Linked DNA regions of Macaca mulatta. The main gene of each other region encodes a partner of the protein of the gene in region 2 in a complex. Links are inferred from orthologs where the notes say so. Each region holds a gene or a part of one and is shown on either strand. Other genes may lie near its edges.

Region 1 (4,544 bases), on a different chromosome or scaffold from region 2:
AAGTTGTTCTCATATGAAAAAAAAAAAAAACCGGCTCTCAAAATCCAGGTCCTGCTCTACCCATCAGTTCTCCTCTCTTCCCAGGGGCCCTTCTTAAATGAGTTGATCACGTTCTTCATTTCCAGTTCCTTTACTCTGGAGTCTATAACAATCTGGCTTCTACCCTCACCTTTCCATTGAAATTGCTCTGCTAAACTCACCAATGACCTGCTAGTGTTCAAATCCAGTGGAAACAATTGTGCTCTCCTTGCCAGACCTCAGCAGCATTTGAGAAGGTAGGATAGAGGCAGACAACGCAGCCATAAAGGGTGGGCTCAACATGCACAGACTACACACAGTCCTGGATCTATGGCCTATATCCACTTGACTCTGAGCAAGGATTTAACCTTCCCAAGCCTCAATTTCTTCAACTGGCAAATGGGGATCGTAATAGTCACACTCTTCCTTGGTAGTGCAGTGCACAGCCCGCCTGCCCTAAGCAGTGGCCCTAGATCATCTCTAGACCTCTATATCCTCATCTGGAAGTCCCACAGGCATTTCCAACTGTTGGGGGACCTGTCTCTGTCACCTCACTAGCCTCAGAAGTAAGTCTTCAGAAGCAGAAACCATATGCATTGTGCCTAGCATATAGGAGGTATTCGAGAAATGCTTATTGAATGAACGAAAGAATAAGTGAATGAGTGTGAACTCACTGAGTAAACTGTAAAGTGCCATGCAAATGTAAAGTGAACACATTCTCTTGGTTTGCGTTTCATTTTTTTTTTTTTTTTTTTTTTTTACTTTTTTATAGAGACAAGTCTTACTGTGTTGCCCGGGCTGGTCTTGAACTCCTGGCTCAAGTGATCCTCCCACCTTGGCCTCCCATAGTGCTGGGATTACAGGCGTGAGGCACCACGTCAGGTCAGTTTACCACTTTCGCAACCATAATTTCATCTGAGGCTCATTACAATCCTGCATCCATTCATTCTACAGTCACTTCTTTTGTGTTCACTAGTGTATCTCCTGAGCTCTCAGGACAGTGCCTGGCATGTAATAGGTGCTCCATCAATGTTGTTGAATGAATGAGTGAATGAATGAATGGATGAATACTGTGAAAGGCATGGCTATGTGGTAGGCACTGGGGATATACTGGTAAATAATATACACATGATTCCTGCAGTTCAGTAGGAAGAACAAATACATGTGATTATATTTCTAAACTGTGACAATGCTATGAAGGAAATGAGTGGGGTGAGAGTTAGAGAATAACAAGGTGGGGAGGTGGCTGCTAAGAAGGGTCAGAAAATACCTGTTTGAGGAGGGAACATGTGACTAAGTTGGAAAGAATGAGAGTGAGCCACACTCCAGGTAAGAGCGTGCCTTCCTGGTGAGAAGGCCTCGTGCAGGCAAGAACTGGCTCTTTGAGAGACTGAAAGGAGGCCAGGATGGCAGGGTCTGGAGGGCCACGAAAGAGAGAAAATATCTAGGCAGGGTGTGTTATTTTAGATGAAGACACGGAGGCACAGAGAGTTTAAACCGCTTCCTCAAGGTCACCCAGCAGGTTAGCAAGAAGGTGAATCCAAGTGCTCTGAGTCTGGGCTAGGGTGCTTCCTGCAGCCCTCGCTACCTATGAGCTGGATTTAGGGAAACAGAAGGTGACCTGGGAGGCTGCCGGGTGTGGAAGCAGAGCTGGAAGGCTTGTTCTCATAACAGGAATCTAGAAGTTGGACTTCAGGCAGGCTTCCCTAGGCGTGGTAGGGGAAGCCTGGGGAAGTCCCAAAGGAGGCGGTTCCCCAAGAAACGGAATGGACAAGTAGATTGGGGAGGGCAAGTTGTCCCAGGGCCGGGAGGTCAGAGACCCTGGGGGACGGGATAATGGGGGTCTGGAGGGCTCCCGGAGCTTTCCCCAGTGAGGATTCCCACCAGGCAAACCATGAGACACCTCCGTGTCCTGGGTTAATTACCATTGTCGATGTTATGGGGAGGTATCGCTGGCTCCCCTTTGGAAAAATAAATGTAACCCCAGGGCTGCATGAGACTATCCTTAGTCACAAAATGACCAGGCTCTGGCCTGTCCCCCTCCACGAACAGACAGAACCCCAGTTGGAGACGGACTTTGTCTGGTGGATGTTGCCTCTCCCTTCTCTGCAGACCCGATTCCCCTCCTCTTCCAGGTCCCCGCTACAGTTCAATTACAAGTTTCACCCCGGCCTCCTGTGTCACCCTGAGTTTTTGTGAAGTCCTAAATTGGCCTGCTAGTGGGATTTGAGTGCAGTGATTCGCCCCGACCCGCCCAGGAAAGCGTGGTGGGTGGAAGAGAGGGCAGGCCCCGTGAGTTCCCCCACGCTCGAAAGGAGTCCCAGACTCCGGCGGCGTGTAGGTGTCGCAGGCCTGCGGGGTCCTGGCTTGCGGCTTCCCCACTGCAGCCGCGCCCCAGCGCGCCGCGGGCCAGCTGCACCCCTCCCTGCCCGGCACCCCGCCCTGCCCGCGTCCTGCCGCGCACTTCCTACCGTGGGTCGCTTCCACTCGATGCCCCGGGTTTTGCTGGAGTAGGGCCCCAACTCCTTGAAGCCCAGGGCCGAGGGGATGGCTGGGAAGGAGGGGTCCTGGAAGAGCGTCCCGGCCTCCAGGCACTCGTTCCGCAGCGCCTCATAGTCCTGGTTGAGGTACTTGATGGCCCTCTCGTGGGAGCCCAGCCCCTCGGCCGCCTCCCGGTCCTTCACCAGCTTGGCCGCGATGCCCGCCATGCTGCGGCCCCGGCGGCCGTGCTGCTCACAGAAAGGTCGGGGCGACTTCGCGCTGCGCTCGGCTGGGGCGCGGCCAGGGCCCGGCGCGCTGCTGCGGACACTGCGGGCGCAGCCACTGCGAGCGATGATTCACCGGAGGGAAGCGGCCCGGCCCGCGGGGTGTGGCCTCAGCCGCTCCCGGCCTGATGGGCTCCCGGCCCGGGACCAGGCCAGCCTGCGGCCTGCGGAGCGCCGGGACCGCCGCGACCCGGGGCCGGTGCTGCCATCTGCGGACAGCTCCCGGGATGGCGCGGCCTGGCGCCGGGAAGGCTCGCGAATCGCGGTCCAGAGTTGGGGCTCCCACCGGAACCCGAGGCCACCTTTACACTCAATGGGGAGGAAGGCTGGGCGACACCGGAGGCTAGGGTAGTTGTGGCCGTCCAGAAAACACCCGGGGAGTTAGCAGAGGATCAGGTAGTGAAGTTGAGGAAACTAAATCAGCTGCCCTGAACCTTGTGCCAAACACCGTCTTAACGGCTCTGCATACATCATCTCATTCAATCCTCCCAGCAACTCTGAAGAAGGCACTGATATTGTTCCCATCTTACAGATGAGAAAACTGAGCCTCAGAGAGGCTAAATGACTTCCCAATGTGGCACAACGGTCACAGGCAGAACAGGGACTCTAAGCCACGGAGGCCTGTTGCAATCACGATGCTGCAGTTACTACTGCTCAGCTGTTTATTTGATTACAGATAGGGTTGTCAGATTTGGCCAGTAAGGCTGGGCGCGGTGGCTCACGCCTGTAATCCCAACACTCTGGGAGGCTGGAGGCAGGTGGATCACCTGAGGTCAGGAGTTCGAGACCAGCCTGGCCAACATGGTGAAACCCCGTCTCTACTAAAAATACGTTGTGGCAGGTGCCTGTGACCCCAGTTACTTGGGAGGCTGAGACAGGAGAATTGCTTGAACCCAGGAGGCAGAAGTTGCAGTGAGACGAGATCGCGCCACTACACTCCAGCCTGGGTGACAAAGCAAAACACCATATCAAAAATAAAATAATATAATATAAAATAAAAAGATTTGGCCAATAAAACAACAGCCCTCCCAAATGTTTAATTTGAATTTCAGATAAACAACAGATACTTTTAAAGTATATGTAGGCCCCAAATATTGCATGGGTATACATACTTATACTAAAAGAAAATATGATTCATTGTTTATCTGAAACTCATATTTAACTGGTAGGATGAGTTGGGTTACTGTTGGAGAGGGCTTAGAATAGTGCCTGTGTTGGCTACTGTGACCACTCTGTTGTGGAGTCAGGGTGTGATTCTCAGCTCACACACAGAGACATGGGTGCGTGCCAAGAAATGCAGATGGGAAGAAATTACCTCCTCTCCTTCTCTACAGTAGTAGGAAGGAATTTGGGTTTCACTGGAAAATTGTGCATGGTGTACAGCAGTGGTTCTCCACTGGGGCAGTTGTGTCCCATATCCCACCCCAGGAAACATTTGGGAATGTCTGGAGATAGTTTTTATTGTCACAGCTAGGAGATGAGGTGCTACTGGCCTTTACTAAGTAGAAGTTAGGGATGCTACTAAGCATCTTACAATGTCCGGGATAACTCTTGTGAACCCAGAAAACCTGAAACAGGTCTCAGTTAATTTAGAAAGTTAATTTTGCCATGGTTGAAGACGCACACCTGTGACACAGGAAGCCCTGAGGACACGTGCCCAAGGTGGTTGGGGTGCAGCTTGGATTTATACATGTTAGGGAGGCAAGAATCATCAATTAAGTACATTTAAGAAATACATTGGTTTGGTTCAGAATGGCAGGA
Region 2 (4,453 bases):
AATCATGAGTCTGGAAGGAGAAGTCTGATGTCAACTCTGAACTATCCCTATCCATATTTGCAGATAATGTACATGGTGCATTTTGATAAGAACCTTAGGCCAATAATGACTCAAAGTAAACGTTTGCTCTTACCACATCAATAAAATGCTACATGTAAAAGTCCAGGAAATGTACTGGAAAACACTCAAGAAGAAATATCTCAAGGGAAATTGGAATTCCCAATTCTTAAAAGTATATGTATATTGTATCTTGATTTTTGAATCTAATTAGTCCTCACCAATACTTATGTAGTGCATATGATTTCTATTTTACAGATGTGAAAGCAGATGGAAAAGGTTGACTTATTTTCATTTAAGAAAAACTCTTTGTTCTCCACAGTGTACATGGAGGCTTTAAAAAGAACTTGTAGGCCTGGTGCAGTGGCTCATGTCTGTAATCCCAGCATTTTGGGAGGCTGAGGTGGCAGGATTGCTTGAGACCAGGAGTTTTAGACCAGCCTGGGCAACATAGTGAGAGAGACCCTGTACAGTGTATGTGTGTGTGTGCATATATATATATATATATCCTATAAATATACACACATACACACACTATACATATATACTATATATATAGAAAGGGAGAGTAAAAAATAATCTAAAAAAACCACTACTTTTGGGATATAATTCTGCCTGGCACATAGTAGATGATCAATAAATGTCCATTGTCTGATAAGTAACAGTTTCTTTCTTGATTCTTATACAGGGTTTCTAGCTCTAAAGTGTGTCTGTTTCCAACATCTTTGCTTTTTCCAATACCACATGCTAAGAAAAAGACATACCTAACTAATTTTTTAATTCTCACCATAAATCCATGAGACATAAACATTTTGGCTCTCACTGTCAACAAAACTGTGTGTGGTTTTGTTTTTTGGTTTTTGTTGTTTTTGGAAAGCAGTCTAATGTTAAATCATGCTTCCTGGTTCCAAAACACTACAAGTGCCAGCTAGACTGGATATCACACCTAATTGGTAGGACAGACATTCAATGCACCAAACAAATGGAACGTTCTTGTCCCTCATCCAAAGTAATAAAGTGCAGAGCAGTTCGCATTTGTGCGCGCTCTCTCTCCCTCCCTCCCTCTCTCTTTCTCGCTTTCTCTCCCCAACCCCTCCACCGCTCTCTCCAAGGGTCTTGGTCTTAGATCTCAGTTGCTTCTAACCCTTGGTGTTTGGGATTTTCTCCCTGCCTCACATTGCATCTACCTTTCCTTTGCTTAAGGGTTAAAAACGAACCCTAGATCTAAGCTCTTGCGAGCTGCGTCCGAGTTCATTCAGGAATCCACCTTCTAGACAGAATTCCTCCAGCAACAATTCCAGTTCCATCCCACTTGTGAGCGCCAGCAGAGCACAGTGCTTGACACAGGGGCGAGAAAGGTGCATGCGCTGCTCACGCTCGAGCGCGCTCACACATACCACAAGAGGGTGAGTCCCCAGCCTCTCCCGGAGCCTAACCTGAAGGTCTGTGAGGAGGTCGCATCCGGTTCGCACCCGGGCCGCACCCCTTCCACGCCAAACCCCGGACAACGCTTCATCCGCACGCCCAGAAGGGCAAAGCAAACACATTCCCTTCCAACACACTCCCTTCCCAGTCTTGCCCAGGCACAACCGCTCCTATTTACCGTCTTGTACCACCAGCTGGCGAATGCCATGGCAACAACCGGCTAACTCCGATCCGCACGGCGGGGGACCCAGCGAGGGCGCGGGGTGCTGTGTTGGAGGCGCCGGGCTCGCACTCTGCCTGGCCGGGACCTGGCTGGCACTGAACTCGGCACATCCCGCGGCTGCCAGGTGGGCAGAACCCTGGGGGTGGAGCCCGGCGCAGACCCCGCCCCTCCCCGCCCGCCCGATTTGGCTCCTGCCTGGTTAGGGAAGAGGCTCTGCGTCTCCAGGCAGCCACGCCCTGCGGCCCGGCCTTAGCGCGGAAAACTAGATCCCGCTGTCCAGTGAAACCAAGGCACTCACTCGGGGGTCCTGAGTGAACCTCATTCCCCGTTCACCCACGTCTCACCAGCCAACTTTTCTCCACGCGCCCCCACTACACTCTACCCGGCCAACGCCACGCCCAGCGCACTGGACCCGGCCGGGGAACCGCAGACACCTCCAGCCACCTGCCGGACAGCGGCCGAGCCCCGAGCCCTCTCCCTGCCCCGCAGGGGCGCCGGGGGCGGCAGACCGGCCAGGCTGGCAACGCCCAGGGAGGGCGGCCACAGCTCCGGGACCCGGTCCCCCGTCGCCCAGCCCCGCGGCGCCGACAGGAGCGCCACTCACCTCCTGGGTGCGGCGGGCGGCGGCTGCGCGCCGGGGACGCGGGGAGGCGGCGGGCTTCTGGCCGGGCTGGGACATGGCGAGGCCGCTGCGGGCGCTGCCTCCGGGAATGCGCCGCGGAGAGTGGCGGGGAGGCCGGGCGGGGAGTCCTGCCAGGGAGGGAGGGAGGGAGGAAGCGGAGGGCCCGGGAGCGCGCGGTGAGGCAGCTTTTCCGACCCCACCCCAGGTCTGCGCCGGGGTTCCCCTAGCCCCGATGGGCCCTCCCCTTCCTGCCCGTGGAGGGACCCGGGCTCCTGCCCTGTAACTTAACACCCACCGCCCCGGTCCTCACCCGGTGACCCTCCCCGGTCCCAGCACTGCTCGGGTTCCGGTTGGTCAGAAAGAAGGGGTTGGAGGTTACATCGTTCCTCCTTCGATGCCCAGATCTATCTAGCAGTTGTGCAACGAGAGAGCGGGACCCGGGCGTGGCCAGTCTACGCTTCGACCCTCCTCCCAATAATCCGGAGAAGTAGATACTCTTTCTACATTCTTCTCTGCTTTAGCTGTGAGAGTTTACCAACTCAAATCTGGCCCAAGCCTGGACAGTCTAGATAAGGAAGCGGATCATAAAAACAAATTAGTCTGTGTGTGTGTGTGTGTGTGTGTGTGTGTGTGTGTGTGTGTGTGTGTAAGTGCGTGCACGCGCCTGTATAGGTCGTATATGATTTTACTTTGTTTTTTGGCAGTTTCGAATTTTAATAAACTTTTATGGGGAGGAGACCATAGGTTCCAATGCCAAGCGGAGAACAGTCCCAAATTTAAACCCTTATTAAACTCTTATGGTCTTTCTAGAGTCTGGCGAGTTTTGTTTCTGAAGCTAGATTGCTTTTGTCTTGGGCTCATCTTAAACAGCACTTCCTGGTTTGGGGCTAGAAGTGAAATTTAACAAGCCCTACTAGGACATGCTTATGTGAGAGACTGTCAGCCTGCAGTCGCTGCTGGTTCACCATCAGGCCTGACAGAAAACCTGTTTGTTACCCTGCAATAGCATCGTCATTTTGGGACTTGGGGTCACCGCTGTCTGCAGTGTTGGGATTTAGACAGTTGAAGAGAGAGAAGGCAGATTTTTTTTTTTTTTTTTTTTTTTTTTTTGAGACCCAGCCTGGCTCTGTCGCCCAGTTTGGAGTGCAGTGGCGCGATCTCTGCTTACTGCAATCTCTGCCTCCCGGGTTCAAGTGATTCTCCTGCCTCAGTCTCCTAAGTAGTTGGGACTACAGGCGCGTCGCCACACTCAGCTAATTTTTTATTTTTTATTATTTATTTATTTATTTATTTATTTATTTTGTAGAGACGAGGTTTCACCATGTTGGTCAGAGTGGTCTCGAACACCTGACCTCAAGTTATCCACCCACTGTGGCCTCCCAAAGTGCTGGAATTACAGGCGTGAGTCACTGCACCCGGCCAGAAGGCAGATTTTAAGGAGAGATTTGTCATGCTGTGTGGAGCCTGACAGAACAGAATTCTGGTTTCCTTTCTACCTCCTCATTTTAGAAATTCTGACTTCTTCCTTAAAGGATAGGATAGCAGCATTCTTAATTTTGAGGGAGGGGATGGGGGGAGAAGAGGATTTAAATGCATTTCCTCTTAAAGGATTCTACTTACTGCCTGTGTATCTAGCATTTCAACAAACAGGTAGCACTGCAGGAATTTATACATAAAAATGAAGCAACTTAGATATTGGGACTATGTTCACTCAGGAAAAACAAATGTTTGTTGGCATCGGTTACATTCAGAAAGGAGGGAAAGTATGCCATAAGTCTGAAAACAAGATCTTCTTATGATTGTGACCACACCACTACAGTAATTTTAAAAAACACAAAAGCTGTAGGGGTGAGGTGACAGGCAGCTCCTCCTTCCTGGCCTCCACCCCAGGAACAAGAATGATTTTCTTACTGGGGAGCCTACATGTCCCAGATTCAAGGTTTTAGATCCCTGGAGTACTTTATTCAAACTCTGGAATAGTTTCCACTGACTTGGTGGCATTAAAGTTTGAGGTTATTTTCCAACAGAGTATTTAAAAATTGAGTTTAACCCGGTTATATATTTCTTGAGAGTATTGTATGTAAAGCATTGTGAAAGGACTAGTAGAAGGAGAGATACAGAGATTA

Evidence for each region.
Region 1: the proteins of CAST (region 2) and CAPN2 are in contact, whole or in part, in a crystal structure (PDB 3BOW), measured with the Rattus norvegicus proteins. The link is inferred for Macaca mulatta from reciprocal best matches to the Homo sapiens genes CAST and CAPN2. Residues at the interface, in NP_445747.2 of Rattus norvegicus: Glu571, Leu572, Asp573, Ala575, Leu576, Asp577, Glu578, Leu579, Ser580, Ser582, Leu583, Gly584, Gln585, Arg586, Gln587, Pro588, Leu596, Asp597, Asp598, Lys599, Val600, Lys601, Glu602, Lys603, Ile604, Lys605, Ala606, Glu607, His608, Ser609; in NP_058812.1 of Rattus norvegicus: Glu62, Leu63, Ser68, Lys69, Gln99, Gly100, Ala101, Leu102, Gly103, Trp106, Lys161, Asp162, Leu165, Leu166, His169, Ser196, Gly197, Gly198, Thr200, Ser241, Asp243, Ile244, Thr245, Asp249, Ser250, Glu251, Ala252, Val253, Val259, Lys260.

What each region holds. Positions count from the first base shown.
Region 1 is NC_133406.1:81,524,055-81,528,598, reverse strand, and holds the start of CAPN2 (calpain-2 catalytic subunit), read right to left. Parts: upstream 2,861-4,544; 5' UTR 2,727-2,860; coding exon 2,490-2,726; intron 1-2,489. UniProt on the Homo sapiens protein: Calcium-regulated non-lysosomal thiol-protease which catalyzes limited proteolysis of substrates involved in cytoskeletal remodeling and signal transduction. Proteolytically cleaves MYOC at 'Arg-226'.
Region 2 is NC_133411.1:103,012,149-103,016,601, reverse strand, and holds the start of CAST (calpastatin), read right to left. Parts: upstream 2,982-4,453; 5' UTR 2,638-2,981; exon of another isoform or gene 2,623-2,637; intron 2,456-2,622; 5' UTR 2,385-2,455; coding exon 2,310-2,384; intron 1,803-2,309; exon of another isoform or gene 1,691-1,802; coding exon of another isoform or gene 1,661-1,690; intron 1-1,660.